Linked DNA regions of Neodiprion lecontei. The protein of the gene in region 2 binds, or shares a complex with, the protein of the main gene of each other region. Links are inferred from orthologs where the notes say so. Each region holds a gene or a part of one and is shown on either strand. Other genes may lie near its edges.

What was found. The genes of interacting proteins can lie anywhere in the genome.
Region 1: WASH complex subunit 4 (region 2) and WASH complex subunit 3 share a complex: the UniProt entries of both Drosophila melanogaster proteins name them as parts of the WASH complex. The link is inferred for Neodiprion lecontei from reciprocal best matches to the Drosophila melanogaster genes SWIP and CCDC53.
Region 3: WASH complex subunit 4 (region 2) and WASH complex subunit 5 share a complex: the UniProt entries of both Drosophila melanogaster proteins name them as parts of the WASH complex. The link is inferred for Neodiprion lecontei from reciprocal best matches to the Drosophila melanogaster genes SWIP and Strump.

Annotation. Positions count from the first base shown.
Region 1 is NC_060262.1:41,778,038-41,788,299, forward strand, and holds the start of WASH complex subunit 3, read right to left. Parts: upstream 6,922-10,262; 5' UTR 6,766-6,921; coding exon 6,715-6,765; intron 6,235-6,714; coding exon 6,070-6,234; intron 5,918-6,069; coding exon 5,637-5,917; intron 5,557-5,636; coding exon of another isoform or gene 5,538-5,556; exon of another isoform or gene 5,470-5,537; intron 5,218-5,469; coding exon 5,145-5,217; 3' UTR 4,897-5,144; coding exon of another isoform or gene 4,876-4,896; 3' UTR 4,559-4,875; coding exon of another isoform or gene 4,442-4,558; 3' UTR 4,162-4,441; coding exon of another isoform or gene 3,988-4,161; 3' UTR 3,594-3,987; coding exon of another isoform or gene 3,591-3,593; 3' UTR 3,060-3,590; intron 2,992-3,059; 3' UTR 2,588-2,991; intron 1-2,587. Other genes in the region: 60S ribosomal protein L44, read left to right, coding at 3,591-3,593, 3,988-4,161, 4,442-4,558, 4,876-4,896. UniProt on the Drosophila melanogaster protein: Acts at least in part as component of the WASH complex which may regulate wash nucleation-promoting factor (NPF) activity and is required for its membrane targeting during endosomal sorting.
Region 2 is NC_060263.1:183,139-194,950, reverse strand, and holds WASH complex subunit 4, read left to right. Parts: upstream 1-4,916; 5' UTR 4,917-5,242; coding exon 5,243-8,524; 3' UTR 8,525-9,451; downstream 9,452-11,812. Other genes in the region: U4/U6 small nuclear ribonucleoprotein Prp31, read right to left, coding at 10-234, 327-617, 702-859, 951-1,120, 1,210-1,414, 1,568-1,765, 1,856-1,976; cell cycle checkpoint protein RAD17, read left to right, coding at 2,430-2,444, 2,534-2,948, 3,069-3,225, 3,296-3,418, 3,541-3,719, 3,815-3,904, 4,080-4,270, 4,345-4,460 and 1 more; CUE domain-containing protein 1, read right to left, coding at 9,604-9,740, 9,839-9,931, 10,026-10,404, 10,494-10,595. UniProt on the Drosophila melanogaster protein: Acts at least in part as component of the WASH complex which may regulate wash nucleation-promoting factor (NPF) activity and is required for its membrane targeting during endosomal sorting.
Region 3 is NC_060261.1:22,758,455-22,767,968, reverse strand, and holds the start of WASH complex subunit 5, read right to left. Parts: upstream 6,145-9,514; 5' UTR 6,051-6,144; coding exon 5,929-6,050; intron 5,689-5,928; coding exon 5,598-5,688; intron 5,507-5,597; coding exon 5,315-5,506; intron 4,310-5,314; coding exon 4,095-4,309; intron 4,012-4,094; coding exon 3,645-4,011; intron 3,557-3,644; coding exon 3,281-3,556; intron 2,595-3,280; coding exon 2,369-2,594; intron 2,306-2,368; coding exon 2,070-2,305; intron 2,067-2,069; exon of another isoform or gene 1,993-2,066; intron 1,735-1,992; exon of another isoform or gene 1,296-1,734; intron 399-1,295; coding exon 147-398; intron 87-146; coding exon 1-86. UniProt on the Drosophila melanogaster protein: Acts at least in part as component of the WASH complex which may regulate wash nucleation-promoting factor (NPF) activity and is required for its membrane targeting during endosomal sorting.

The sequences.
Region 1 (10,262 bases), on a different chromosome or scaffold from region 2:
AACCAAAGGTCAGGATATTTTCGGCTCGAAATGTACGGAAATAAAAATTATTATCCCTTATTCATGTCTTAATATTTGTTATAATCTATATCTCGAAGCACTCGACGACGTATGCATGTATAAACGTAATTCCGCCCTCACACGTACACCTATGCGCGATGTACTATACTTGGGATATCTAATTATTTATCCAAATAGCTCATTCACCGGTTACGTTACGTCGCCTTGACGAGATTATGATACGTTACATATGTAATGTAAGAGTATTAGGACGTCCAAATTCAGATAACAAGTTGCAATGATACGTAACTGTGCAAATAACGAACAAAGTTTATCGCTTGAGTGTAGCAGTGGCATAGGGGCAGCACATGCAAGAGGAACGATGCCACGCCACTCGGTTGGTAAGGAAGAATCCCCAACTTACCTGCCGCGTCGCTCCCGCCAACAATATCCTTCAGTGATTCTGGAATCGGAAGCCCACAACGTACGTAAACTTGCGTCCAATCCTATTGCCACACGTATCAAATGATGCATGCACCAAAATAAGAAAAAAAAAAAAAAAAAAAACAAAAAAAAAGAATATAAAAAAAGAAAGGCACATTCTACCAAATTATTTAAGAACTTTGAATAGAAAGCCAAGTACGATAATCCAATCCATAGGTATACAGTAAATACCCAGCGTCATGCCGCTCTAAATATACGGTATATGTTACGATTTATACGTGGATTCCTTCGTCAATTATCAGAGGGGGAATATTACGATGTCTTCAGCATTGGTAGTAGTCCTTGCATATTGCTCAGTGTATTGAGGCAAGATCATGTTTCGTGAACTTCGTTCTAACTCATTGCAAGCGTGGATAATGGATACCAAGGCACTGTACAAACGGAGCGCCGGTTTGATAATCACAGGTAGAGGATATTATATCTATGTGTGCTGGCCGCCTCTCGACGTCGCCGTAACATATCCCCCTTGCCACGCCGCTAACCCTATCATCTACTTTCCAGCTTCTCGCAATGTAACGTAATTTACACTTTTCACTTTTCAACATCCAAGAGTTACGATATTAACATATCTACATCATTATAACCAAATATACACGAAGGAAATTCTTGTACTACACATCTCACATCTACCTACCCAAGTTAAATGGAGAAATGGTTTTGTAATGCAACGATATCGCGAATTATAAATTAGCTCTCAATGGAGTGGACGGACGGGGGGAAGAATTAATATGAAAAATAAAATAAAAAATGGAATTTATAATTTCAATAACCACGAATAGTCGACAGTTCGGGAAGGATGAATTATTATAACAGGAAGTCAGGATGTCAGGAAGCTGTGATCAGCTTCTTTCCGTGGCAAAATGTTGTAATCAGTTGTTCACGTAAGAGTGTACACAGTAATTGCTTACTACTATTGGGCGCCATAGCGTGGTTGAAGCATCAAGCGACACAAACGCGGCAAGCGCAGTAGCGGGGGCATCGGGTCGTGAGAAAAATGCGCGGGAGTCCCCAGTTTTCCAATAAAATGATGATAATAATAATGATAGTAACGACAATACCGATGATGTTGATAGCAACAATAAAAATAAGTTTTCTTTAGCATCGACTGGCCGCCACGATCAACAACAGAAGCAATAATAACAGTAATACTCGAAACAGTAATGATAGTAATAATAATCATACGTATTAATGGCGTCATCGGAAGGCCGGAAAATTAACGAGCTATGTCTTGGGCCGGGTTAAGGCGAGAGCTCTATACGCTTTTATAATGCACAAATGTGAGAATTAATGTCTCGGTCAAGGGGGCGACAGCGTAGGTAAGGAAAAATAAAGATCGTTGCAACAGGAAGAGAGAAGCGAAGCGGACAGAGGAGGGAAAGAAGTCGAGTATGTGACGAGACGCGCCGGCCGGCATCTCTCACATGGCTATCGTCGTCATCAGCGCGTTGTAAACTACAATTCTACACAACTATTACTACTAATAGAAGCGTTATGTAGTTGGGTGAAATTTTTCATTACACACCAACAATGTGTGTGTAGCATCACGGGGTGACACGTATGTACACGCCGCTACGCGCATAGAGAGAGACGCTTAATACACACACGAGCGAGCGATACGCATATCGCACACAACGACGCGCGCGCGAAAGGTTCACCTACTTTTCGGAGCGAAATAGGTAGCTGCGTGTGTGTAGATGTGTACGTGTGTGCGCGCGTGCGTACGTGTGTGTGTGTGTAGTGTACAAATGTCCTCGGTTTGGCGACATATTTGATCCACGCGCGTGTTCAATTGCATGCATCACGGCGGAGCTATAGTCACGCCGCGCAGGGAGATATGGAAAATATATGGAAAAATTACGGGATTGGCACGCGGTTGTGGCGGGGATAGCGGCAAACCCCGAGCCGAGATGAAGTATTGAGGGAAAAATTTTGCAATTACGGAGCGTCCGCGTCGAGAGCGTAGATTAATTGTTGTTATGATGCTTTCGAAGCTTCGCCGATCCACCGTACTAGCTCACGTACATACATACATCTACATACTTATACGTTTAATACACAAACAGAGGGGTAGCACACAACTTACCTCGGCCGGCCTTTTCGTTCCCTTGATTTCGCATTTCGCGTCATCTGAGGTTTTTTCGTTATCAATCGCCTTCTCGACGGCAACGTCGTTATTCTCCTTGGTACTCATGACGACGGTGGTTTTTTTTTCTAATTTGGTAATTGTTAAAACGTAAGAAACTTGTGTGTCTTCGATGCCTCGATTTCGGCGTGGGACACGACACAACGACGGCGGCGTCGGTTTCCGGCGAGTGCACGAAACGCTTACGAAAGCGGAGGACTAGCGGACCTCGGAGCGGACTGAAGCGGACTACTTCACTCACTCGGCGTACCGTCCAACCTGGCTTTGTTCAAAAATGAAGATGGCGCGGGTTTGAAGCTCGATAAATCCCTGATTGGTCGATCTCTCTTCAGGCCTCGCCGCACCTGAAATGCACCGATTAATAAAGTGAATAAATTTTAACATTTCATGAGTAATTATTCAACCTTTATACCTTGCAATCAATATCTATATTGAATAAATAAAATTATTCACTTCCGCGGACGAGGGGTTTGAGAGTACGAAGCGTACTTCGGAGCCCTGGTTCGAGGCTTTGTCGCTTGATTCAAACTGGCTTTAGCGCTGCAATTCGTCGATCAAATTGTTACTCAAATTACGTCCAAAAAAGTTTTTTAACGGTATCTAAAATTCTATTTCGTAAAATAACTAAGCGGAAATAATTCAATCCTGTTAAACTTCCTGACGAGAAAAAGCCGGCTTACCTACCAAATATACGTGGGTATCGCAGCGGCACGTGATACTCTTACTCGACAGTGAATAACGTAGAGAAAAAGATTCCTATTTTATTCGTCATCGGTTCCTTGCTCGAGATATTGATCGAAAGAAGTATCGGAGGTTGAAGAGATCAGAAAACGGTGGAATATATTGGTATTAAACTCATGCGGACAAGTCTACGCAAGCGTACCGCGCAGCTAACAGGCATTTCCGGCCTGCCTCCGCTTCCTTTTTCTTCTAAACAACCAAGATGGTAGGTGAATTGTGTTTTATTTTGTGGAGTTTCATCCATCAGCATCGACTTGCAAAACGAATAGATTGATTTTCTTAATGGAATCATATCATGATCAAACCACCCGAGCACTATATTTCAATTGATATTTCTCTTCAATCGCCAGTTCGCGATCTCGTTCGAAGGGACGACATGACAGACGGTCAACATAACCTCGAAATCCCCTACTGATACTAATAAATCTTAATACGTTGTTAAAAAATCAGTTACCGACGTGGGGACTAGATAAGACGGACAATTCCAAAAATTTCATGTATTGCGCGAGGTTTTTACTGCACGTGAACATCTCATGGGGCTCTTCTGCCTGCATTTCACACAGATACCTGCATCCTGAGCTTAACAACTTTCGTTACAGGTGAACGTACCCAAACAGAGGCGCACGTTCTGCAAGAAGTGCAAGGTCCACAAGCCGCACAAAGTCACCCAATATAAGAAAAGCAAGGAAAGGCATGCGTCTCAGGGCCGAAGACGTTATGATCGTAAGCAACAAGGTTTCGGAGGTCAAACGAAGCCCATTTTCAGAAAGAAGGTACGTATTCTTATTCCATATTACTCGCTAACTTTAATTGCTCATTTGATATTTTACCACAGTTTTTTTTTTTCAAATTTAAGGTAGCTTAAAAATTCTAAAACTTTCCTAAAAAATTCTAATAAAAAAAGTGAGTAATTTTTTTTTTAACTGATGGGAACATTGGTTTTTCATTCATTTCTGGAGTTGTCATGCTTGAAGCTTCTACAGAACTGGACTAACTGATCAGTATGTCATAACCCAGAGAGCATTTTATTGATTGACGTTATTTTCCTTGCAGGCTAAGACAACCAAGAAAATTGTGCTAAGGATGGAATGCACTGAGTGCAAGTACAGAAAGCAAATCCCACTTAAACGTTGCAAACATTTCGAGCTGGGAGGTGATAAGAAGAGGAAGGTGGGTTTTTCAAAACCTAGTGCATCTAGATCGTTTTATATTCGGTGCTGAGATGTGTGGAAATTGATTCCAAACAGTTCAAACTTGTTTAAGTCTTTGTGCCATTTAAATAATCTGAAACAAGTCTCGAAATTCCATATGGTGATATTTCAAAAGCGATTGAAACATTTATCGATATTAGTCTGATGAGAGTTTGAGATATTTGTCCCTAGGAATTTTACCCACAACTAACGCACCTAAACCGAATGGAAGTAACACGCATAAAAATTAATTTAAACCAGTAACCAATTGCAGAATATTTTGTTTTCTATTTACAGGGCCAGATGATCCAGTTCTAAACCTTGCGTTTAAGATTGTAACTATACAAACAAAAAAATAAAATAAATCGTTCAAGATTTGAAATGTGTTTATTTACTAAATGGTTATATCAAACAACAATGCATATATTACGTTTTCTTTTCTTTTCTATCAACTGGGTCTGTCAAAATTTTTCCAACATGACAAATATTTTACTTCGTGAGCGCTGTGAATACTCTTTGTACCTTACTGTTTCATATGCATACTTCCTTTACTCTTCAGTTTATTATCAAGCATCATCCTCATCAGTAGTTGTATTTGTCTCAACTATTTCCGTTATTGGAACCAACTGATCAGGATTGCTGTTTGAACATCAAAGTGTGTTAAATTCTTTGTCACATATTCTGTGAATGTAGTCTTATATTCAGTATATCTTGAAACAAGACACATTTTCGAAATTCTATTCGCATCCGTAATACCTAATAAAACTATTCAAAAAGGTAATTTGAAGTAATTTTGGAACGAATATGCCGATTCCAAAATATCTGCATTTATATTCTTGAAGAAACATAAGAGATTACATGAAAGATCTTGAATAAATATTATATACTGACACAAACTGAAAAGAAGGCTACAGCAGGTCTATGAAGATTGTTTGACATTTTTGTAACAGCATTTCAGCCTATCCCAGTACATAGCCCCTTTCAAATTTTAAAACAAATTCATGTATAAATAGTCTAAATATTAAATGTTAGAAGAGTTATTTTCTGGAAATACTCACTCTAGCAAAAGTGGATCTAGACCCTCTTGTTTCATTTTCAATTTGACAGCCTGCGCAGGTACGCCAAACTGAAGCATTTTAAAGAATTTTGCATATCGTGGATCTTTACTGATGGGTTGCGTGTTACTAATTTCACTTTTTTCATCAATCAACTCAGCTTTCACCGCTTCAATCTCATTTGTCTGGTCTTGTTCCACCGTTTTCTGTTCTTGATCACTTGATTCAGTGATTGGTGAAGACTCTGTCTTTGTTGGAAAGTCAATCTCTGGTATCGACGCGAGCTGATAAAAAAGCACAGCGTCTCATTTTAATTATTCACATACATATTAAATGAAGAAAAAGTGCAAAGTCGACTTAACACTTGCGAATAGTCCCTCTGCTGTAATGTGTGATGCTGAATAAACATGTTAAGATAATTAGTAGTTTTGCTTACCCTAGATTCAAGGATTCCTAGCGACGCTTCAACTTTTTGCAATTTATTTTCAAACTCAAACAGTTTTTCCTCGCAGGATAGAGCGAACTTGTTCAAAAATGTTACTGTATGTACAATAAAATGATTAACGAACGTTATAGTTCTTTTTTGATGAATCGGCGGGACCTAAAAATAAATGTTATTCTATACGTTAGAGACTCAAAATCCAACTACACAAATTTTCGATTTCTGTTAATCTGTACAGGATGGACGCATTAAATGTTAATAATCTATTTACGTCAGCTAAAACTTTTAGACCTTACAGGTCATATGAACTTTGTTTCTGATATTTACACCATGTGTACCCAGATCAGTCCAGATCCAAGTAACTGGCAGACCCAAAATTTAGTTTCGTTGCGCTCATGACTACACATAGAAAACTAATTCTAATTGGCTGCCGAGTAATTAATAGAAGTCGGACGAGCATAGAAATTGTTGGTAGGTATAGAATCAGAAACGCGATTATCGTAGATGATTTTACGATTGATATGTAAACTAATAAAAATTTGAACTGTAGATACGAAAATTGGTGACATGGGAACCGGGGGACGAACGATATCGTGTTGTACCTTGTACGAAGGACTAATTAGGATAAAATTAACTAACCTTAGTAAAGTCAACGGTAGGTTCGATCATCGGAATCCCATAATCGTTCATGTTGCACAGTTTGCTAAGAAGAGAGTGAAATATTGTACAATGTAACCTAGAGTCTCCTAAAGTGACGACTTCTGATGGTCAACTGATTTCTGACATTTCTCCATTTGACGTACGATTTGACGTTTCGTTCCGAGGGACCCTCTAGCAGACACTGACAGAGTCACCCACGCTTGATGACAAATTTACGCGCTGAATTTGAGTAGAGTACATAACCAAGATTCACTCTTTGCGCGCTAACCCTAATAATGCACGTTGCCTGAAGAATATTCTTCAGTCAACGTAATACATCAACCAACACATTGAATTCGTTTTTAACACACAATGAATGGAATTCGAAACGGCGGATTTTGTTATCATAACCACCTCCGCGGTGTTAGTCGAAAGAATACACCGCACATTTCCCACCGCACAAAACAAATACCCAAATACATCAACATATCTACGTACGACTATTTTTGCACATTTCCTAATTGACTATGACAAAGTTATAGTGTTTGAAGGTGCAGAAAGTGCAGTTCAACTTTTCTCTTCAATCGGCTCGACTCATTGTACCTTTATTGTTAAAAACGCTTCTGTACCACAAAATCTAATTGACAATTATCGTCGATATTAATGCATTATACGTATAATATAGTTGTGTGTATAACTTATAAAACTACAATAGATTGTTCTTAATCCCTATAAACTTCCGCATAAACTAAATTTGCATGCTTGAAATATCACAGACATATTATGATACATGTGCAGTGTTCTTTGATGCTCTTCTAACCGGATTTAATTGTGCTTGTCAAATAATATACACTGTAACCGGATATTTTTATATTTGAGGGTATAAACAATATAACGATAATTGGTTACCCTACGGCGCAGTCGCTAACCTAAATAATTAGATAGAGAGAGATACTAAGGGAGAAAGATACAATTGTTGGGCGCCAGACGCACATGCGTCAAAAATAGATAATTAGAGAAAAAGACAACGATAAAGATAAAGGTAATAGATAAAGGTAAGGTCAGGTTCTACGACGGTTTTGCACAGTTCGCTCAGAGAGACAAGATAATGGTAGAGGGGCGGAGTCGAATCCAATAGATAAAATAAGAAACAGGTGAAGCAGGAATAATATCAAATATATTAAACAAGAAGCGATAAGTTTACTGACAAGCAAGTAGCGGAAGAGTTTGCGATACAAATACGATATATGCGATAATTAACAATAGTTACAGCCAGAGAAAGGTTAAGCGAGAGAGTTAACAATTAACGGAACGTTTTCCGAATAAGCGGGAAATATGAGCAAGCTCGCGATATTAAAGGTAATGATTAACACGGTTCTATGACAGGTAGGCAGAACAGAAGAGATACACTGTACTTAAATTAAGCGGTAAGCAAATAAATCATAAAATGTGAGAAGCGATTATAACTCATGCGAAATACAACAATTGAAATAGTTATCACATTACCAGAATGATCAGAAATAGGCAGACAGGGAATTATGAATTACAAGGTAAATTCAAGCGATAGGTCAAATAGAAAATTATTATAAAATATAGAGAATAAAAGATAATACGTAGTCTCTGGTTTGCGGTAAGTGCGAGAGAAAGAAAGATAATAATCGGTACGATAAAAGGTAATTCAAGATAAGGCAAACAATATTCAAGGTAATTAATATGCCACGTACGGCAAACCCAATAGACTACGGACAACTACGATCAGCGATATAAGCGAAGAAAATAGTGAAAAAGATGTTATGCGATATGGCACAATACTCCAATGTCAAATGAACGACGAACGGGACCGCGCAGCGATATAAGATCGCTCCCGCGGTACTCTCACTAAGATGCGATAATCAACGATAATAGATAAAGAGACAGATAGAAACTAATCAGAGAAAATATAACAAAATAGTAATGCTCAGTAGCTAAGATAAAAATTGATCCTTTAACGGAACGCGCTGCTAGACAGCGATATTAGACATTCAAATATTCTAAAAGAGAAAGATAATAAGATAAAGCGATAGTCACTACAATGCGTAAGTAATAATCAACCAGTCGCGAAGTTACTTGCAATAAGACAGAGAAAGGGACAAGATAAGAGATAATAAGGTACGAGCCCAGGTGGCTCAAGCAGACCAACTGCAAGGTAAAGAGAAAAGATACGAGCCCAATTGGCTCAAGCAGACCAACTGCAAGGTAAAGAGAGAAAGAGATAAAGGTAAAGGTACGATATATTGCAAGTAATCTCGTGGCTTCACAAAATAGCAAAGGAACCTCACTTACGTAAAAGAAGATATAGTAGATACTACAGGATGCGGTACACTAGCGATAAACTTAATACAATGATAGCCAAAAAAAAAACTCTATTACAGATATCGAGAACACGTCTTTCTTAATTGACAACTGAACGTAGAGTAATGAGATGAGCGATGATCCTGATTTTCATCGAGCTGGTGTCACGTGATTCTTCCCAAAATTTGCGGTATCTTAATTGGACCAGCTGGTCCCGTGGCCTGGTCCACGGATAGGCGGCGATAATCCCTCGCCGTTTGATGTTCTTTTCCCTCGACGACGGGTATCGAGGTATCAGGACGTCGGAAGGTGGTTAGAGATGTTTTCCTGCAGCTATGCGGTATCGTTGGTGAGAAGGGGGTGGGGTCGTACTGCTCAGGTATTGCGATATTGATGTGTGCGGCAATGTTACGTCACCGGTCTCCTGGACTTGCGACAGACTGTAACTCACTCCTTGTTTTACTGGTACTCCCCGTTGTAGCTATTTCGTCGGCGCTGCATCCCGGCCCTCGCTCATGGAAGCCCTCATGCCGGAACGATCTGGTGGTGATGGCCCTCAACCCGGATCCCCACACTAGATCCACCAGATCCACGTGGTCAGCATATCATTAGCCTATTCCACGCCGCAGTCCTTCGATAAGACGGTTCGTTAAGAGAAAACCGTCTTCTATTGTATAGTCAACGACTTAGTAGATATTAGGGTCGGTTCAGCTCCAGGCTGATAAGTATCGTCGACGGGAGGCTTCATTGTGTTTTTGACGCACAGCCCTGTACGCCGCCTGACGATGCATCCGAGCGGTAGAAACATTCGTTCGTGGTTCGGCTCCTGGCCGATAAGTCTCAAATAGTTGGAGGTGCTGTTGTGCATCACGCACGACCCTTTTCGACAACTAGATAGGCATCCATCGGGAGTGGTTTCAGCGGTATTCGTTCGTCTGTAGTCGGTGGTGTTGATGTTGAGCTGGTACTTGACCCCTGTCAGGAAGTGTACTGGTACCTTGACGTGAAGGTCTCGCGGATGGTTCTCGAAGAGCATTACAGAATTAGAAAATAGCATACAATTAGCTTAGTAAAGGGAAATCAACTTAAAGATAATTAGTCGTTCATTTTTGGAGTATTGGCCTCAGACGTGCTTTCGTTATTTTTAGCGATATTTGTACCTAGAGGAATGCGATAATTAAATAAAGTGACGGGGTACGAAATACCACGTCACAACT
Region 2 (11,812 bases):
AGAATTTACCTGTAGCGGGGTGAAGGCAACGCTCGACGCGGTACCGGAAACCTGCTTTTTGACTGTCGTACTGCCGCCCCATTGCTGCTGCTTCTGCAAGTTTTTTTGGAGAGTTTTCGATATCCGCACCTTCGTCTTTTCATCAATTTGAGGTAGTCTGATACGGCCTGTTCCCGTTTTGCCAATAGTCCCTCTGGAGTAACCCAAGTCCTCTTGATAAGCGTCATTCTCAATCTGCGGAGGGAGAAAAATAACGAAATGCAATTTTTCTCAAGATTTCTGAAATCTGCGACGGCCTGATATCTTGAACTGTAGAAAAGACTTACGTCGGCGAAGTTCATCCGGTTCGCGTGCTTTCGAAATTCTGTGATCGCATATCGTTCCTTCATTTTCCGTACACGTTTACCGCCTCGCTTCTTTCGACCAGGGTCGATCGGTTTTGGAAGAGGTTTTATGAATTTTACTGGCGGGGGTTCTTGCAGCTTATCCAATTTTTTTTCTATTTCGTCCCTCAGTGCCTGGCCAATGTGACCATCCGTACTCTCGTGACAAGCATCGACTCGCGCAGCCAGCATACTCTTTGTGGCGACAAGCCTCGCTGCCTTTCGCCGCAAGTCCTGTGAGCACAAAAGCAAGTCCAAGTTGAGCAAAAATCAAGATAGATCAGATTGCAAGGTGGAAGAAATCATTGAAACACTTACAGGCGGTGTGTCCTGCACTATGTCAGAATAATAAATAAATCCGGCATGGGGGAGGGCAGCCACCTGGGAAAATCCAGAAAGCATTTTTTTTTGGGAGCCCAAAACCAGAAGATTGCAAGCTGGCATTTTAGATAGCTTTGTCAAACCGCCAGCAATCCCTGTAACAATTGAAATGGACAAAAACGAATTCAAATTTTCAAGATAATAAATTGATACAGTGACTTTGTTTTCCACAGTTACCTCACTTACCCATGATTTTTGCCGCCGTCGAAGCTCCAACGATTATAGAAAGGTTCGGTGCTATGAAGGCCATTCTGCTTTCAACATATTCGAATATTTTCAGCTTGCAATTATTCAGTTCTACGGCCATATTGCAGGCTTCACAAATTGCCTCTTTTTCCTCTTCAGTCATAAGTTGGCTAATGAATATAACGTAGATTATTGAATGAAAAAAAATTATAGTCAGCAATTGTTTAACCAGGATGCTAAACTTGATTGGAAAATTCACCCTTGAGTAGTAGATGCAGTCACCGACACCACCATGATAGTAGCTTGCGTTAAGAACTGCTGCAGCTTCTCATTGTTCTTAGCTCGATCCAAATCATTCCCTAATTCACAAACTGTCATGACATACTCCAATGGACCAACTACCAGCGACTCCAGCTCAGGAAATCTTTTGGAGTACTTATCCCTTGTAAATCTATGAATGATTGCTGAAAAATTAGGGACCTATACATATTGGCAAAATTTGGTATCCGTTAAAACTTGTCACATTGCCCTAACCAGAACCTACTTTTTGACTGGCAATTACAAAATGAACCACCCATTGAGCGTGTTAAAGCTGTTGCAATCTGCGGGAAACTTACCAATTTCATCGTCGATATCGACGGCAATATTGTTTGCCTCGACGATGAGCTGATACTCAGGGTCGGATTCAACCGGACCTACGATGTCGGCTGACTTTCTTGGTATTTTGCCATAGCTGTCTATGAGAGAAACGACTTTCTGGAGCTGCGGAGAGTCGCGCAATTTTGCGAGTTCTCGAACGGAAGCAACTTTGACCTCTGTAATAAAGTATCGAATTTAATGTGAAGTCTGAATTATCCGGTAACTGATATGTATATGCAACAAAGACCGTGGATAGTAAACCTGACCTTCTTCAATCGTCTTAGCAACGGCTGCAGGTGGAATAAATTCCGGCTCAGCCTCTTCCATAAACTTGTCCGCGTCATCGTTTTCCTCCAAATCGGCCAGCAGCTCGTCAGCCAAAGACATCTTGGATTAATTGGGAAGTTTATTTCAAGAGGTATGTACTTGGAGGATTCTGCAACTTCAACCTCAATTCCTAAACTTCTTCCATCCTAATCTGAGCAACCTTTTTGTTTACGTCTCACCAAGTCTCGCGCGACGTTGCTGTGCTCAACCCGCGAAGTAATACTATTCGTGGCTCAACCGTTTATCATAAACAGAGGTTAATGGTGCCAATAGCCAATGCCCACTGTGTGTATTTAAAAATGGCCGATTTCACGTTGTTCCTGTATTTAGCTACAGATGGCTGCAGAGACAAGCGAATAACTTGAATGAACCAAAGAACGAACATTCTGTCACTTTGAAGTTTGGCGGCAGGTAACAATCAGGAAGTATTTAGATCTAGAACCCAGTTAGGCACGCCCTAAAGTAATTTCGAACCACAGTCCCTGTCCAGGAATTTCCGCAAATGAATCAGACATGTCCGGTTCAAAGGTGAATAAGCATTGAATACAGAAAACAGTCATAATAGATCCAAACTTATCACGTGCCACAGTCATCTCACAAATTTTCAAATTCGTTAGAATTTACAGAAGAATAAAGGTAGTCGGATGTCATGGTCCTTTGACTGTGACGTGAGTGAGCGAGATGTGGTGACACCTGCGAAGCGACCGAAAATAGAAACAGAAGTACCGTCCCTAGACCGAGTGTCACGAACGATTGATATTTATGACAAAAAAACACATATAAACAGCTTACCGGCTCTTCTCAAAGCTTGCGAACCTCAAGAAGCCTCAGAGTTATCTATTAGCCGACAAAAACAAAGAGAAATATACGATTGGTTGGAATATAAAACTATCAAGAGCAAGCCATGCGCTTTGATTCTCTCTGGTCCTTCGGGTTGTGGAAAAACCGTTAGCTTTAAACTACTTGCCAAAGAGAAGGAGTTTGAATGTGTCGAATGGATCACACCGGCTGATCAAGGCGCGGATGAAAATAGTAGGTTGATCAATACTGTCGATAGCATAAAAGACATTTATTTTCAATGATTAAAAATAGGAGAAACACTTGATGTTGATGATAAATACTCCTTAAATAATTTACTACCTCTTCTCATAGATAGATTCACGAGGCAAGGAGACAAATTTCAAGATTTTATGGTCAGAACTACAAGATACGGTTCTCTCTTTGAAGATTGTTGCAGACGCCTACTACTCGTTAAGGATTTTCCAAATGTTTACTTCAACGATAAAGATGCCTTTCACACACTCCTCGAGTGAGTCTGTGTTCCAGATTTTGCATTATGTATGTTGAATTCAAGTATGACGGTTATAATTATTTATCAGGCAATACTTTGGGACGGGCAAAGAACCAGTTGTATTTATTTGCACTGATTCAGGGGGCATGGGAGCGCTGCAAACCTTATTTCCACCAAATGTCAGGGAAAAATTTGGTATTTGTCATATCAGGTGAGGCTCTCGTGATGAAATTGACATTTCATGTGGTTTTGTAGCACTAGAAAAATATTCTATAATGATATATCACTCTTCACTGTAATCAACTCGTTGAATTTGACTGTATTGCTTTGCAGCATAAATCCAGTCACACAAGCGGTCACGAAGAATATTTTGAAGAGAGTTTCACTAGTCTTTAACACCAGAGCCTCTCACATGGTACACGTGTCTCAACATATCGTAGAAGAAATATTATCCAACAATATCGGAGATATTAGGAGCACTGTTATTAACCTCATATTCGCTTCTCTGAAAGGTTTTTACGTACAGCCTTTTCATAGCACTTTACACAGCTTTATATACAGCTGCTGGATTTAGCTCCAATGTTATTCAATGTACGTATGCTTTTAGTACCTAATAGACAAATCGATTGCGAAGGAAGAGGTCGTGGAGAATCTTTAAGCCTACTTCATGCCATCGGTCGAGTAACTAATCCCAAACGTAAGTTATAGTTCATTTTCAGAAGTAAATCGAAAAACATCTTGTAGAATTATATGCTATGTGAATTATGAGCTACATCACAAGTTTAAATTAATCTTCCGTTCAAAGTAACGTGAAGTTCCGAAAATACCGATTTTTTGATTATCCAGTACTTGGTAGTCATTTAAATTTTCAGGTCTAGTCGAAGGAAATTCATGGAAGTTTGTACATGACCCAGATGAAATTGCGTACTTCTTTCAAACTCAACCATCTACGTTCGCGCGGTTTTTACATGAAAATCATTTGAATACCACAAGAGGAATCGAAGAAGCTACTGCAGCCACTGATATACTTAGCATTTCAGATTGTCTTATATCTGATTGGAGGGTATGTGGATTACATTCCAAAGTGATATGTAAATAATATGTGATGTAAGTTGTATGACAATGAAAAAATTTCAGGACTCGCATTTGGGCAGACTTGGACTCTCGTTTTGTATCCGTGGAATAATGATTACCAACAATGATCCTGTGCCGGGTTGGAATCCAGTAAGAAAACCACGTAATGACGAAAAAATGTGTGTATAGCTGGGCATGGTTATAGTTTCGAATTCGATATGTGGAAATGAATGTTTTCATTGTTATTTCCAGCTGCAGGGATCTCGCATCCACTGAAACCCTCTGGTACAAATCGCTGATCAGCCCTAAATTAGCCTTGACAATAACATTCAAGGGGCTTGGAAATTAAAGGATATACATTTTAAAATACCAAGATTTTTCACGACCCGAAAACAAATTGCCGATACCACGTGTTTCGTCAATGATCATTTTCCAATTATATTTTGTTCAGATATTATTATTTTTTTATTTAAACGGCTATTTCTAGATACGTTTCATACAGAGACTGTGAACAAGCTCGACTAAGAGCCCGTTGAATTATTGTAACAGCTGCACAAAGACGACTGGTTAATAAATGATCTTATCGAAAATTTGCTTCACACTTGACCCTGGTTACAGCTTGACGACATTTGACCCTTGTTTCACCACGGTTTGATGTGGGTGTGATTCTTATCTGGTGACACGCAGCGTTGGTTGCCTAGATCGTGATTTATATGGGCGTCATTGGGCGTGCGCAACAAACGGGTTGTCCTGTTATCGTTCCGACCAAAGAGTTTACTAATACTCTTCGGTTTCCGACAGTCTGTCTAACCTTCAAATCCGCCAGTGGAAATTGACATCGGTAAACTAACCTACAATGTATACGCCGGACGCGGAGGAGAAGCGTAATGGACGGCAAAACTGACAACTGACTGATATTGATAGTGTGAAATTGCGTAGGGAAAAAATCCGCACCGTTAACATGATAGACTCAATATCGTGGAACAGTGCGAGGGATGAGGCAATTCATCGAACGGTCGGAGAAGCGCAGCTAAAAAAGTATGGTAACTTTTTTAACAAATCAATCGAGGATTCAGGCTGGGTTCCTGACACATCTCTGAAATACGTCATCCAAGGGCCGATCCATCTCGTTTACAACCCCCGCGAGGACATTACCATAATGGACATGGTAGAAATGGAGAACAAAACATTGGCCAAGCTTCTCGCGGCGGTCGCGGGTACTTGCAGGGAAATCAGACTACTGAAAATCGAAGGTAATAAATTCTACCAGAGGCTACTCACCCAGGGCGAACGATGCAGTGTTGACGAAAAGGGGGACGACGTCAATGTCTTGTTATCAATTCTGCAGGACCTGTCAGCATACGTCAAACGGGTATCGCTTGTCGCAAATTTGACCATCCAGCAGCTGTCGAATCTGACGGGCAATGCCTATGATATATACTTTCCGCTGGTCATTGAACATCTGGTTGACTTATTTGTAATATTTGTAACTCTAGATGAGATCATCGTTGCTCAACCTTCGCTACTCGATACTTGGGATCAGTACTGCGTCCGCGCTAGCACAATGCTCCACAATTCTGAGCAATTCAATATACCTGGCTCAAAGTTACGTACTTTTGAAAAGCTGCTGAAAGATCTGCGCCATCAACTTTTGGCTAACAATTTATTTCTCGGAGCTATCGACAGGGCGATGGATGTGAAAAAAAGCCCAATAATGCAGAATCACTTCGCTTGTTACCTGAAAAATACTATGCTGGATGTGGAAAAGAAAGCCAGTGACAATTTATTGTTTAACAAAAACTGGATACGTACAAATGTAGGGGTCGTCGTCATTGTCAAATTGTTCGGAACTGTAGATAAGAAGATTTTTAAGAGGCTTTGCGAAATGAATAAAAAATACTACTCTATTACTCTGATTGGCAATATTATCTGGATTCCAAATAAATTTTTGGCCAATTCAGTCCCAAAAGAATTTGGCTTGGTAGTCGGTTCGCAAGCCGGGGAAAAGATCCTTGCCTCTAAGATCCAAAGATTGCCAGAAGTCACAAATTCCCTGGCTAGAAGGGCGACCCAGTGGTCAGTCGAGATGCAGAACATTATCGTGCATCCTGTTGAGAAATTTCACCAATCTGATCTGGAAAGAAGGTGCTGTATGCTTATTGAGTTTGTAATCCTGGTGCAGCAGGTAAAAGAGAATATATTTTTCACCACTAATCTTCACGCTGCTCTGCTAAAACCAATGAGCCGAAACATTGTCCAGCTTGTATGCAGACTCATAGAAATGCAGAAGTCACTTGAAACAACGTTTTACACTTTCGGCTCAGTCATTATTCAGTCCCAGAGCCATGTTATCCAGCATCTCTGTTATCAAATATTGGTCATCCTCGAAACGGCCAAGAGAGGACTGATGCTTAGCAAGGACAAAGGATACAGCAGGGAGCAGCTCGATACTATGACATTGATAGGCCTTGGTATGAGACTAATGAACGGTCCCCCGACAGACGACAGGAGGCTGATAACACGCTGCGCTCTGGCAGCTGCTAGCCAACTGACAGACAGCTTCAAAGAGGAAGAACTAATCAAATTGAGGGGATATCTGGACGCCTACGATACTATCGCAGAATTACATGACCTGGTTAGGCAGGCTTGCGATTACTCTAGCGTACTCTATCATCGAAGCATGCTGCCCGCTTACTTGAGCATGGTCATAGATGGCAACTCAGATATAAGTCGGATTGTTCATTTACTCGGTGCACTAAATAGTGCAGTAGCGGATCACGAGCCTCCCAACTCCGTGGGAAGCAGAAATAAAGAGCATAGGGAAATGCTAGTGAAAAATGTGCTAGAACCAGCCTGTCACGAGATTGAAACCAGCCTGAGGTTACACGTTCACGCGCATCTCAAGCTGGATGACTCGAATCCATTCAAGATTGGTGCTGTTAATTCCAACAGGATAGTCAGAGCCTCTCCACTGCCTGTTGCTGATAATTTCTTAAGCCCAAAGAGGTTCATCGAACATTATTTGGACAGCATGTTTTACAATCTCACCACCGTGGCTCTACATGACTGGAGGACGTACGGAACAATGCGGAGATTAGCTGGCTATAAACTGAATCTAGAAATGGTTCAGGATCATTTACCAACACAGAATTTGGAACAGGGTTTAGATGCGCTTGAAATAATGAGAAATATAGACACATTCGTTGCCAAATACTTGTACAACTTAAATACACAGACTTTCATAGAGCGTACTAGTTCTAATAAATATCTGAACACAATCGGGATAAGGCACATAGCGAACTCGATCAGAACCCATGGCAATGGAATAATGAGCACTACAGTGAATTTCGTCTATCAATTTCTCCGTGCGAAGCTACACACATTTTCACAATTCCTATTTGATGAACATATAAAATCACGATTAATACGAGATATCAGATTCATCAAATTACAGAGAGAGAGCAGGGCGACTCCTTATACATATGAGAGAGCTGAGAAGTTTCAGAAGGGTATACGCAAGCTTGGAATGACGACGGATGGTCTCAGTTATCTAGATCAATTTAGGATTCTGGTATCTCAAATAGGGAATGCCCTTGGTTACGTTAGACTGATTCGGTCTGGGGGTTTGGACGCTTGTTCCAACGCGATTGCTTTTCTTCCCACAATTAATTCTGACACTGTGTTTGAGTCGACATGTAAGAAGCTGGACTTTACAATAACTACACAAGCTGCCGGAAAGCGGCTCGACGATGACATTGCAAATTTAGTGCAAAGCTTCACGGAAGGAACACAATACTTCAGACTACTGGTAGATGTATTCGCTTCTGCATTCCGCGATACAAAAAACGTCCACTTACAACAATTTTACGCCATCATTCCTCCACTCACACTCAGTTATGTCGATAATGCTCTGGGAAACAAAGAGAAAATGTCTAAAAAGAATAAGACCGGGGCAGCATTCACCGACGATGGATTTGCAATGGGAGTCGCATACATTAACGCCCTTCTTGATCAGAACACGGAAATAGACGGACTTCAGTGGTTCAAAACCGTCGAGGAACAAATGACTCGAGAAAGAATAGCGGCGCAGCATAAAGACGATTGTGGCGACGAAAAATTACAACAGACTAGAGCTTTAACATTAAAATGTCTGGCAGAAAGAAATGCTGAGTTTCAACTTCTCTATTATAGCCTTTCGGGCGCGCGAGTATTCTTCAAGCAGCCGGATACGTCTTCTCTCTGAGTCATTAGCTATAAGTTTTAATGTTAAATTTGAAAAACACGTTTGAATATTATAACCAAGCGTATAATAGGGACTTTCATAACAAGCATATAATACCATGCTCTGTATTACGAAATATACAATTTTTAAGTAACTCAAATAAACGGCTAAGTTTATACTGATACTAGTTTCAGTTTGTCCTTCAAATGTGTCATCTCACCTTGGTACAAAACTAGCACACTGTGGGTATCAGGTTTTCCATAAGTGTGACTTCAATTTCTGTCGCGCAATTTTTTTATTGGTATGTCTGACGAATTTCAACGTCTTTGCTATATTTTTCTTACTTATAAACTGTACTAAAGTAACAGTATTATCGGTAGTATAATACATTCGACGATTGGTAGACAGATAAATGACTAGATATGCCGATCAGAAGAGATTACATTGCTTTTACAATCCTAATATTGAACAGTTCTCTGATAAGCACACGGAATGATATTGAAACGAGGATGGTTACGGTTTATCTTGAGGCACGAATTCAAAGCTAATCGTTTGGAGTTATTAGCTTCTGCCGCGGGACTAACCCCAAGTAGTTCATTTTATGCATTAAGTAGGTATTAAATTTGATTCCTGAATAACTACGCAATCCGTAAAGGGTCCTTTGTGAGGTAAATTTTCATTTGATTCCAGAGAAATGAAATTCGACGACTAAATATCTCTGATTTGATTACGTGTAAGAGCTACCAGATCCTTGAAGTGTATCCAGGGTATTGACTATTTCCAACAATATCTCTTCACCTCAATAATTACCAAGTTTTTTGTGATTATAGCGACAATATAAGTATACGTTGGGTTATTATTTTAATATAGCTTGTTGAGGATTCCATTTGCTTGCATTGTTATATTTTCTTTCACTGATTCTCTCCTACTTGCGTGACTAGAATCTTTGCTTTTCTTCAAAAACCAGTAACATTACTACTTTTTTTCTACACCACATACATTTCTAACCTGAATATTATTCAATCTGGTCAGGATAACGATGTTGACTAGAGATTATAACTCTGTTCCTTTCAAGGAAGTACTGGAGAACAGGCGGAAGCCTAGTTTTGAGATCTGGATACTTCCTCAGATTCCAAAAGGTCGTCACACGATGGTGTGGGTGGTAGCAGCTGTCTTCCACCACGTTTCTTACTCCGTGTAAACACCTTGGTGAGCTGGGCGAATTTACGCCGCGAAACTGTAACAGTATGTGAAAAAGTATTTAAAAGTTTAGACGCTTCTTTGGCAAAGCAGGCCTCAGCTTCAGTTTATTGAATAAATCCCGTTTCTCAATACCTTTACCCATATTTCGTAATCTTTCTTTGAATAAATCCTCATCGTCGTGGCTTACTGTGCCTGCAGATTTCTCACATTCGTCTAATTTAGTATCTACAAAAAAAACAAAAATAATGGTCGGATTAATCAGTATCAGACACGGCGTACATTTGCTCTTCTTTATAATTTGCCTGACTCATCGACTGACCGCTGGCCAAGGTGGAAAGAAAATCTTCATTCCACCTCAGTTCTGCCATGAATTCTTCGTTTTGAAGAAAGATTGCAATACGTTCGTCCTCCAGTGTGGAGCCTTCTAATGCGCCGCCAGGCTCCGGCATTTCGCAGCTCTCGCTCCACTGCCTGGGAAGCCTCAGAAATGTGTCTGGCAACGGACCTAGCAAGGGAGGCTGCCACTTGTGAATAGTCTTCAGCGACTTGCAAGGCTCGATTTTAGCCTGATTATCTTCAGATGAATCTTCGCTCTGCTCAATCTCACTTCTGATCTTTTCATTCTCGTTGTCCGTGCTCATTGCCAGTAGCTGATCGATAGTTGTGTCAACTGCACCCTGGTTCGAACGTAACACAGCCTGGAAAAAGATATGAGCTAAGTTTAAAATATTCTGTATGTATTTATTTCAAATATACGTGGAGGTGTTGGGTGTAAACAAGGTGGTACCTCGATAACGTCATCGTCCATCTGTGGAAACATGTTTTTGAAGTCAGCCATTGCCTGGTAAAATTCCAGGGTAGTCTGTTGCTGTTCTGCAGCAGACGCCATGGCAAAGATGCGCTCTCTTACTTTTGCATTACCAACGCTGCGACGGTCGAGCGATTATAGCCTTTGTTGTATCACGTGGAGCGGTGACTTCGTCGCAAACAATAATATCCATTTTGAAATATTTTTCGCACGTATAACGCACACACATACGTACTCCCCGCGACACGGAGCACTTCTAATTTGCCGATGCCGCGATTGCTCCGACCCAGTGCAAACTATTGTATATTGCCCGGCGCCCTGCTGATATCCTCATAGGATTTCCAACCCCAATACGCAGAAAGATCTCGCATTCTGGCATAATAAAGAACTCATCATCATCACTTTACCCGGATTACAAACGAGCTGCTGTTATGACAGTTGCGCATCCCTCTCAAATCGACTCGGCTCTTCGGTTCGGCTTCGACTGCCCGCTCATGCCCGCTGCCACCCGCTGCTGCACGCTCTAACTGCTGCTAGCGTGAAGTAAGTAGTTACGTACACGGTGCTGCCAAGGTGCGGGCATGGTAACTAGAGGTGAGGAGTCCGAACGCAATGCTAGCCAAATGGTCGGTGAAAGTGATGAACGATCCGCGGATTGTAACCGCCTGGCGGCGCTACCACTGCGGGCATCGTCAGCGCGGTGATTTTTGAATCGTCGATCCTCACGTATGTATCCTATTCGTAACCAGGCGCTGATATCGCTTGAGGATACATCCCGAACTACAAGATCTTTCATCACTGTGCGTTCGGACTCCTTTACTCTAGTCCAGCCCCCTGAACTCACCACTGCTCGTATACTAAAAAATTGTACGTGTTTTGTCCCCGTTTTTTAGTTCCTCTACGTGGCGCTAGTAGATTTCTGACACGCTCGCTGCCCTCGCTGACCACGCGCGAGCTTGTCAGACAACTACTAGCGCCACTAGTGGTGGAGATTGGCGGCAGAATCGAGGGACATTTTGCGAACCGCTTTTAGCAGCGTGTATCAGGGGGCTGCTCTAGTCTTCATGGTGCGGGGTTCCTAAATAAATAGTACCGCAAATCGCCAAAAATCGGCGCACAGGTAGCCAAATGTAGCCAGTTTCCCAACTAACAAGTAACCCCTAGGACCCCTAGGCTGTAGCGAAACGAAATTTTGCTACCAGGGCGTCTCAACCACGGAGTAGTATGTCTCAAATCGAACAATTGGCGGATATAAAAATATGACGATAAAGATGAAGAAAGGTCTATTCTGAATTATA
Region 3 (9,514 bases), on a different chromosome or scaffold from region 2:
TCGACCAGAAGAATACCCAATGAAACACTCTTTAGGGCAAGCACCCCTTCCGTAAAAACTGATACAGTGTACGTTAACTTAGCTACCTGTAGCAATAAAGGGGACTTAATAAGGAGATCATGATGAGGACAATTTAATTTTTGTACCTTGAGCCTGTCATCCAACTGTGCGTATTCTCTCAGTTTATCCTTGCTTAATCGCAAAGGTATCTCTTTGAGATGATTGGTTTCCAAATCGACAATCTGTGCAAGTAGGCCAAACACTGTTTCTGGAATAACTTGAAGAACATGTCGGGCAAATACTTCCAATTCTCTACTGTAATGCTGTGATACTGAAGACAAATCTGAACTGTGAGCTTGATTTATACGTAGTAGTGGAGTTTCCAATGCAGATGCCATCTGCAAGGAGTAATATTCTCATAACAATTTTTTTGCTTTCGTTTAATTAATTTGATTATTTTATGATATTTCACACTAGTCCTTGTCTTAAAAATATATCAAGTATGTACCTAATCGTACCCCTTATATATATTGTGTGTACCTGAACTTTTCACTTCTTTTCCTTCATGTAAGTATTGATCTTAAATAGTTCATTGTTTTCAAATACAGTGAAACTTCAGTTATACGTTTTTCAAGGGATATGGCAATATTTACGTATAAGTGCGAATAACGTTGAAGCGAAATATCTAAATGTTTCAAACCTTCATGATTAGCAGATGAAAAATTCATGATTTCCAGTGGTTTTATAAATATTATTCGGTCATGTAATGTTGCCAACTAATATTATTAACACTAATTGGTAACACTTCAGTAAAATCGCATAACAGTCACACAGGCTGAAATTCACCCTAGCTCCAAAAGTGATATCCTGCTTCAACAATGAGTTCTAAAAATCTAATAAAAATATCCAGGTATTGATTAAGGGTCGCAGAAAAAGATCTCTTAGTTTTTCCCAATCACAATTGATTGTTTAAATATTGTAAAACATCGGCAAAGTTATGATACTAAAGGACTCTACGAGAAGTTTGAATAATGTGTTTGGTGATATTCACCCCAAGTGACTAATTAGAGTTAGTTCGAGCATTTCACAGCTAGCTTAAACATTCAAAAACATACTGCGCTGGTCTAACTTGTACCTTTTTCTTCTAAAACTGTAATTCTTCTCAAAAATTTTCCTCTTCCAGATTTTTTCTCGTATTTATGACTTATATTTATACATACAAACTACACGATCACATTCTAAGATAGTGAAATTACATCTCTGAATTTTTTGAGGTAGATTGGACTCATACATTCGACAGGTAACACGTCAAAAATGGAACAGGGTCATTTTGAACCAGAGTGTTCTTCATAATCCAAAAAATAAGTTAGTTGTCGAATGGTTAAAGTTAATATAGTGACGGTAAGTAAAAATTATCTCTCCGTAGATATGGTGCTGACCTGAACTTGCCAAAACGTCTTTGGGATAGCAATAGCCACATAGGTCAACCTGCGTCATCCAGCAGTAGATAAGAACACGAAATATCAAAACGCGTGCGTTAATTAGCGGTAGGCAAACATCAAATCGAAAGACTGGACTTAAAAATCAGCTGCAATAATGTTTAACAGTTAGAGAACAGTGCTATGAGACGGTTAACGTAGAGTATATGTGCCAAACGTTAAACGAGAAACCTGCAAGTGAGATATTTTCACATGGTTCATAGGCACAAATGGCCTCGACGAAGAAAAATTTAAGGTATAAACAAGAAAAACGTACAAGTGCTTAACGTTTAAATGAGGTTTTACTGTATCAGTAAACAGTAAATAGAAAATGTGGAATTTTTGACAAGAAGTTAAAAAATAATTGAACTCAATGGGAACTGCAGTTGAGATATGGATTCAAGGTTAAGAAAAAAAACCTCATTTCACCAATAACATGGTTCTTACTTTTTGACCGTGTGTGTGTCAATTTTCAGTGGACATAATTCACAACGTTTTTACGATTTTTTTTTAGAAATTATCAATGCGAAATATTACCATTTTTTACTAATAAAATGAGTATTGAGCAATATCAGGAAGTGAGAATAATACCTTCGAAAAAAGGGGTTTCAATTTGGTAACCATCGGTGGATCCTTTTTAATACACTCCTGCATGATGCTTATGAAAGACTCCATAATGTTCCATGCGTAGCTACAGTCTGTTACGATGTTTAAGGCGATCATTACATCCTCAGTTATGCTACTGGTGCGAAGCATACGCTGCAGTATATCACGAGTGTCAGCGAGGTACTGAGATATATGTAGATTATGCTCCAATTGATGAAACTCTGTAAGTTTATGTTACAACAATCTCTGAACAATTAACAAAAAACCATAGACAATCAACTTGCCTTGAACTTCTTCCAGGGCCTGAAACAGCTGCACTATCTTTCTTCCCTCGTCTTGCTGTAGGGAATCAACGTGTTTTCCTATCTCTTTGAACCATATCTGCAAGCATTCGTTCTTTTCTACCCCATCTAGCGGCCTGTTTCCACTGAACACTTCTGCCAAACCAGAAATACGTTCAACGCAAATCTCTTTGTGACGAGTCCAAATTGTTTCTTTGTCAGTCAGCAGCTGCGTAGGTGTTCAAGTATAGTTAGTATTAAAACAAAATGTAAAGATAACAAAGTGACTATCTGACAAAGCAGTTAAGGCAACTAATTTTTTCATGATGCGCTTTCTTTAAAACTCTACATTAGTATTACAGTGTCTAAGTATAAGGAAATGGATGGAGGAAATGGCACCAGCTGCAGTATATCTATTCGCTTCAATCTCACCTTGCATTGCATAAAATAATGCTGTGTAGAAAATTAATACTCACTAAAAGAACATTGAATTTACTGGATATTTCAATTTTTTAAAAGCCGAGGCCAGAGTTTATAACCACAAATCTACTTAAGAACCCCAGCATCTGCTGTGCTTAAACCGAATAGACAAACTGTAAAGTTGGACATCTTCAAAGTGAAAAGATTCACAAGTAGAATAAATATGACCTAGCAAATCCTTCCGTACAATTTCATTATCCTCGAATGCCTTTAAAATATCATTTCACACCTACTTAGTTTATTTGGGAAATTTATTTTCAATCTGACTTCACTTCACTCTATTGTACAATGTACAACATTTCAAAGATGCTGAATGTTCCACTAAGTAGAAGTAGACTGGTGTAAAATAAAGTGCAGGATGAAAATTATAACTGAGATATTTCATTTCTTCAATAACCATTATTTGAAATAATACGCGCCATTAACATGTCTCACCTGTTTGTACATCTGTTTAACATCTTGCTCTAGTTGAGCAGTATTAAGCAAAAGCCAGAGACATTCAATGGCGATGTATTTGGATTCCTGTATAACGAGTTGGCGGATACTCCGCGATCGTTTGGATCCTTCGCTGAACATACCAGGCATTGAGGTGTGGAGAAGGATCCAATGAAGAGTAACATTACAGTCACGAACAAGCTTGACAGTATTTCCGATTGCATTTTCCTCCACTCTTTTGGTTAATTGGAATTCTTTGGTATCGGCTACCTGTTTCTGAAAATCACAGGTAGAAACTTACTCAACATTTTTTGTTAGCATTGAATTTTGTTAGAAGAATAACGTACAGACATCGTATGCATACCTTTAACTTCTGCCCATACTTTTGAGCAATTTGTTTCACGTTTGAAACCTCAAACGTGTTATTGAGAGCATTTTTTGCAGCTTTATATGGCTCCCACCAGTCCCACAAGTTCAGGACTAGCCCCATGTATATACTGATCACCCAATTATCCGGAAAAAATCTATCGACTGTTTCTCTCATTATCGAAGTTTGAGAGTGAAGCGTAGACGGGCTGAAGGCTAGAGCCACGACTAGCATAGCAGCCTGACTGGCTAGCGCCATGCTCCGATGTTCTGGATAAGGAAAAGCCAGACTTTGATTGTATATTTCGTCCGAGCGAAGGCGACTTATTACGAGATCAACAAGAAGAGTGTTGAGCGGAATTCGTCTGTATACGAAAAAATTATTTTGTGAGTTTTTAACCTAGAATTTTGTGAATGTTCAATTCAAATCAAAGAGGGAAAATATTACTTAAAATATGCTTCCGGATAGTTTGCAGGGCGTTTGAAAGGTGCATTGCTAAATCCTGTTGATCTGAGTAGGACACAAACATCATCTACCCTTGTCGTTGATATATGCTGTACATTGTATCGGTAGTAGGAAACAAGCAGCCGTTCTCGAATTGGTCCTTCGAAGTGCAGATCAACCAACAAAAGCATGACTCCGTACAAATACACTGCCTCACACTGCGATACAAGGACGATTTCAATATTATTGCTCAGTTTGCTACATCATGTACGATCATGAGTGGGAAAGCAAATAGTTTTTGAAATTTTTTATCAGGGATTACGAAAGGTTTGAATTTTTATATTCTTGATCTTTGTCTGGCTGTTTATTGCGGGCAACCAACTGCGTCCAGGAATGAAAAACATCGCTCGTTTCGTGAAATTCGGAATTAACAGAAACTTTTGCTTTCAACAATTTACTGTATCAGATATTTCTATGTGAAACAGATGTGAGTTCAAAGTAATTTCTGCAATCCTGCTTTCGTCTTTCATATTCGATATATGAATTACTACTTTTTTCTCAAGTAAATCATGGAATTTTAGTTGTAGAAAAGAGATCAGAATAAATATTTTGTATAAAGATTGTTATATTATTACAAACTATGATCAATTTTAGACACTCAAAAGATTCTCCGACTTCTCTAGTAAACAGGAAATTTCTTTGAAGTGGGATAGCTTAAAAAGTCGTTTTTGATTTCTTTGTTCTGAAGAGAATTTCAAAAAAAGAACATGCTATAATAATCTGATGAAGTGAAGTTGTTTGCAAATCGAGTCATAACACATTCAAAAAATTGTAGCGCAGTTTGAAAAAGTTGACACAGCTGAAAGCTGTTCAGCATAGTATCCATTGGAATTAACATTCTTAATCACCAGGAATAATTCCTCCATCATTCCAAAATGTCACATGAAAATATGCTTCAGACAAAATTAAATCACATATGTTTTAAAAATAATATTCAGAATTGAGTTCATGCAGCAATATAACCTTGCTTTGGAATACAGCAGAAAGCTAACGACTATTGGAACTTAAATTACATTATATCTCTAATGAGTAAGCATCTTTTTTGCAAATATTTTTAAATAAAATTCTCTCCTTTTTTGCGACCACTATCCGCATATTTGGTTGATTAACTTCCTTAATATCGAGTAAACAAAGCTGACCAGACACATACAATATGTCCATACCATCAACTGCTTTCCTTCTTCACTGAGCATTATTGTTTCGATAGATTGCTGTATGTATATTCCATCCTCCAATTCTTCGGTAAAAGCATTCAAATCGGTAACATACTTGTGAATGCTTTCAAAAGCCAAATAAAATCTAGTCAGAATATCTGAAAATGTATCACGCATCTCTTCGTCCAGTTCCTGCGATACCTGGGTTTGTCAGACCATTTGGTTAGTGAGTAAACTATTATATTCTGATATAATACATCCATCTATAGCTTCGATTACAATTTTGACTCACAGAATCGTTTTCTATTTTATGCTCATACGCATCGGCAGCCTTGAAATAGGAGAAGTCCAAGATGATTTGGCTGTAACGTTGATCCGCCTGCCTATAAATTGGTGTAAGGGACAAGTTATGATAGTGAGATTGACGGACGTTTATAGAATAATGAATACCTCATTTGCAGTTTGACACCTCAGTGAGAACTTAATGTGGATGTATTATTTATGTGAATTGGAAATTGCTGAAGGTGTTCCATATGAGCATGACCATCGTGATATCGTTTTACATGCATATGCAGAATGACGATATGAGAATGAAGAGGTATAAACGAACAGAGAATACTAACCTAAAAATTGGCGGCACGTAATCCTTTAGCCGCATCAATTCAGCTATAATAGCATTTCCACGCGAAACAAGCTGTAAAATATTCTGGCCGCATCCGTTATTCAATGCCAGAAAGTCCCCCATTTTAGAGACAGGTTAATCTGTTGAACCTTTTGACGAGACACTCCACTTACAATTAAATAGACCACGTCAAAACATTAGTTTTCTGCTTTGCGGACTCATTGCAGCAAAGTCGGATAGAGTGCGTGAGCATGATTGCATTGTTGCAGGCGTTATAGATGCAAACTGTCCGCCTTATTAGCGACCTATTAATATACCTCGGGATATTCAAATACATTAATTATAACCTTAATTATAACTTACCGACTCATGTCTCAAATTCAACGTCAAAATGAACTTAGCCGACGTTGCGAGATTTTTCAGCTAACAAATTTTGCATTTTGCTGATTTATTTTCAAAATCACGTGCACTTACTTCAAATTTTGATTGCTGTTTTATTAGTACTAAGATCTTTACCTAAGAATTTGGAATCCCTTTAGATTTGCTGACCTTTTAAATTATCTCTTACAACTATTATTGACGCGGCTGAAGCTATCAACCAGAATTAGCAACCAAACGTTCTAATATTCATTCAAATAAGGTAATAAAGTGCAATAATCGAAATTTTTTTAAAACGTTGAACCCCCAATACTTTTATAGAATTATGAGGATAAAACTGAACTGCATGTTTCTATTTCGAAAAAAGTTTAACACCTCCATTAAAATTTGCTTTATAATAGTCAAAATATAATATGACAGAGCAAAATGAAATGAAGAGGAAAATATTTCAAATTAGACGCAGGTTGTAGTTTGTACAATAAAATTCGATTCTGGCGATAATTTTACTATCTTAAGAACTAATCTCAAATCCAACGCAGTAAATAAAACTAACAATGGGTGCTGATCAAAATATCAGGTCGAAGTTTGAGAACTTGAGGCCATTTCTTTGTAATTTCCATCGTCAAGTATAGTATAGTATAACCTGACTTTCGTTAACAATTTTTGACTTCAACCCAGTTCTGTTACAGCTAACAATAAGTGTAACGAGTTCTCTTAATTTCACCAGATTTTATTTAGAACTAATTGAATTCTCTGTGTCTGGAAGTCAGTACTATTTAAGTACTAGTTAAGAAAACGCTAAAACGATCGTTATGCATGTACGAAAATAATAATAACGAGTTATTCAGTCAAACTCTCCTTTCGGAGTTTTATAGGTACATATTTGTTTTAGCCACCATACATAATCCTACTTTTTCATCATATGACAATGTTCAATAAAAATCTGAATGCATAAATCCTTGCCGTATTTCATTTCTGCTCCCAACCACCCTGTAGATGCAATTATCTATGTAACCAGCTGCCTTAGATCACAAAAACTTCTCCAGTTTTTCATTTTGTTCTTCAATTTCTTTCGTTGATCTATAATTATTTTTTCTTCTGAGCGCATTTCGTATCCCATTTCTCATTGGGGTGCGCTAAAAATCGGTACTATAGTCTTCCCTTATCTCTCAAGCATCCAGTTAAACGCTTCCTTTAGGTACGTATATCGAGAATTATCAAGTTGCTTGTTATAAAAATGGCGCTTGCCCTCCCACCTGTCCATCCGACCCGCGCTAACACGCACAAGGCATTCTGTGCTATTCCTCGAATACTTCTTCCAATTGTGAACTCGAGTCTCGTCTTCAGTGATGTGTCCAGTTTCTGTTTAACTTTCTGACCTCTCGGTGAACTCTGCCAACTCTGCCATTTGATCCCGTAATGCAGTAATTTCGTCCCTTATCTACTGCATCGTGGTCAACATCTGCCTAAGCATTGAGACATTTATTTGCAAACCGAACACCTTTCTGACCGACACATTTTTGATTCAGCTGAATTTTTTTTACTGGTTTTACATCGAAAAAAAGAGATACGTATTCGAGGATTTTTTTTTCACATATTTTAGAAAATAGATGGGGTCGAAAATTTGAGAATCTGGTGATTTTCGGCGGGGAGACTCATTTTAAAAAATTCATAGCTCCAGTTCTATTTGAGCTAGATAGTTCTCTTTTTCATTTTAAAGCTAAAAGAATGAAATGTAATAAAAACATAGGTTCATTGAAAATTATTAATAAATGCATATTGTTATAAATAATTAAAATGTTTAAATCGATCTTTAACTCACCTCGTAGCGAGTTCTTAGTATAACCTTCGTATTCTACGTCAAATTCTTGATCAAAAAAGCATTTTTGAATGATGGAGAAATTATTGTTACTGTTGAAAAAAAATTAATTTATCTACCGCGGCACATTATATCGGCGCGCGGATTCCATTGCACGCCTCATTTTCTTGCCTCGTATCGTTTTTCTCTGTAATATAAATATAAATGATTATTCTATATTGTTGATAAAATAATATTATTTATTAGTAAATAAGACTTTATAAAAGATTGAACAAAAAAATAAAGACAATTTTTTTTTTATCTTTTTAATTCTGAAAAAAAATCATACCTTGAAAACCAGATCCCGGCCCATGATGAATTTTACACAAGTTTTTGAACAGTAAGAAAGGAATATGCTCTGAAATTTTTGTCGAAAGAAATTATGCCGCTTTTGAGAAATCTCAGAAACTAATATTCTTTGAGCTTTTACGGGGTTTCAGCGGCCACGATACCTTTTGCATAATTTAGCGCTGAAGTTCACTCAAAACTGAAACTTTTTCATATGCAACTTTTTTTTATACAATCAATAGCTTACGAGTAATACTTAATTACACTTCGGACGTTTCCGATTTCCGCAGATATTATACCGAATGCTAACGTCTAATAATAAGTGTTATGGAGTAAAAATCTAAAAAAAATCACAAACACTCTCGACAAGTAACAGAAAGTTTTCACGAATTTTAAACAGATTCGAAGAGACTTTTCCGCAGGTCAATCTGACGTGGAAAGCCACATATATATTATATATTGTTCTTCTTTGCTAATAAATAATATTGTTTAATTAAAAATATAGAATTAGCATTTATATTGCATATACAAACGATACGAAGCAAGAAAATGAGGCGTGCAATGGAATCCGCGCGGCGATGTGACGTGCCGCGCTAGATAAATTAATTTTTTTCCAATAGTAATAACAATTTATCCATCAACTAAAAATGCCTTTTTGATCGAAAATTTTACGTGGAATACGATGTTTATACTAAGAGCGCGCTACGCGGTGGGATGAATTGTTAAAAATCGAGTTAAACATTTTAATTGTTTATAACAATATAAATTTGCTGATAATTTTCAACGAAACTGTTTTTTCATCGAAATTCAGTCTTTTCACGTTAAATCGGCCGTTTTAACTCCGAAAATTATGAAACAAATCATAAATCTAACAGAACATATCTGCGCACATATCAAGGATTTTTTCAGATTTTTCGGTAGCAAACTCGAGCGTCTGAAAATTCTTGAACATTTGTATGAGTGGTGTATATATGACAGTTCAGGACCACACAATGGCGCGCATCCTCCTAGCTCCCCCCCTAGCCCCCCGTTCCCCTAAATCCGCGGTGCTGCCCCCTCCCCT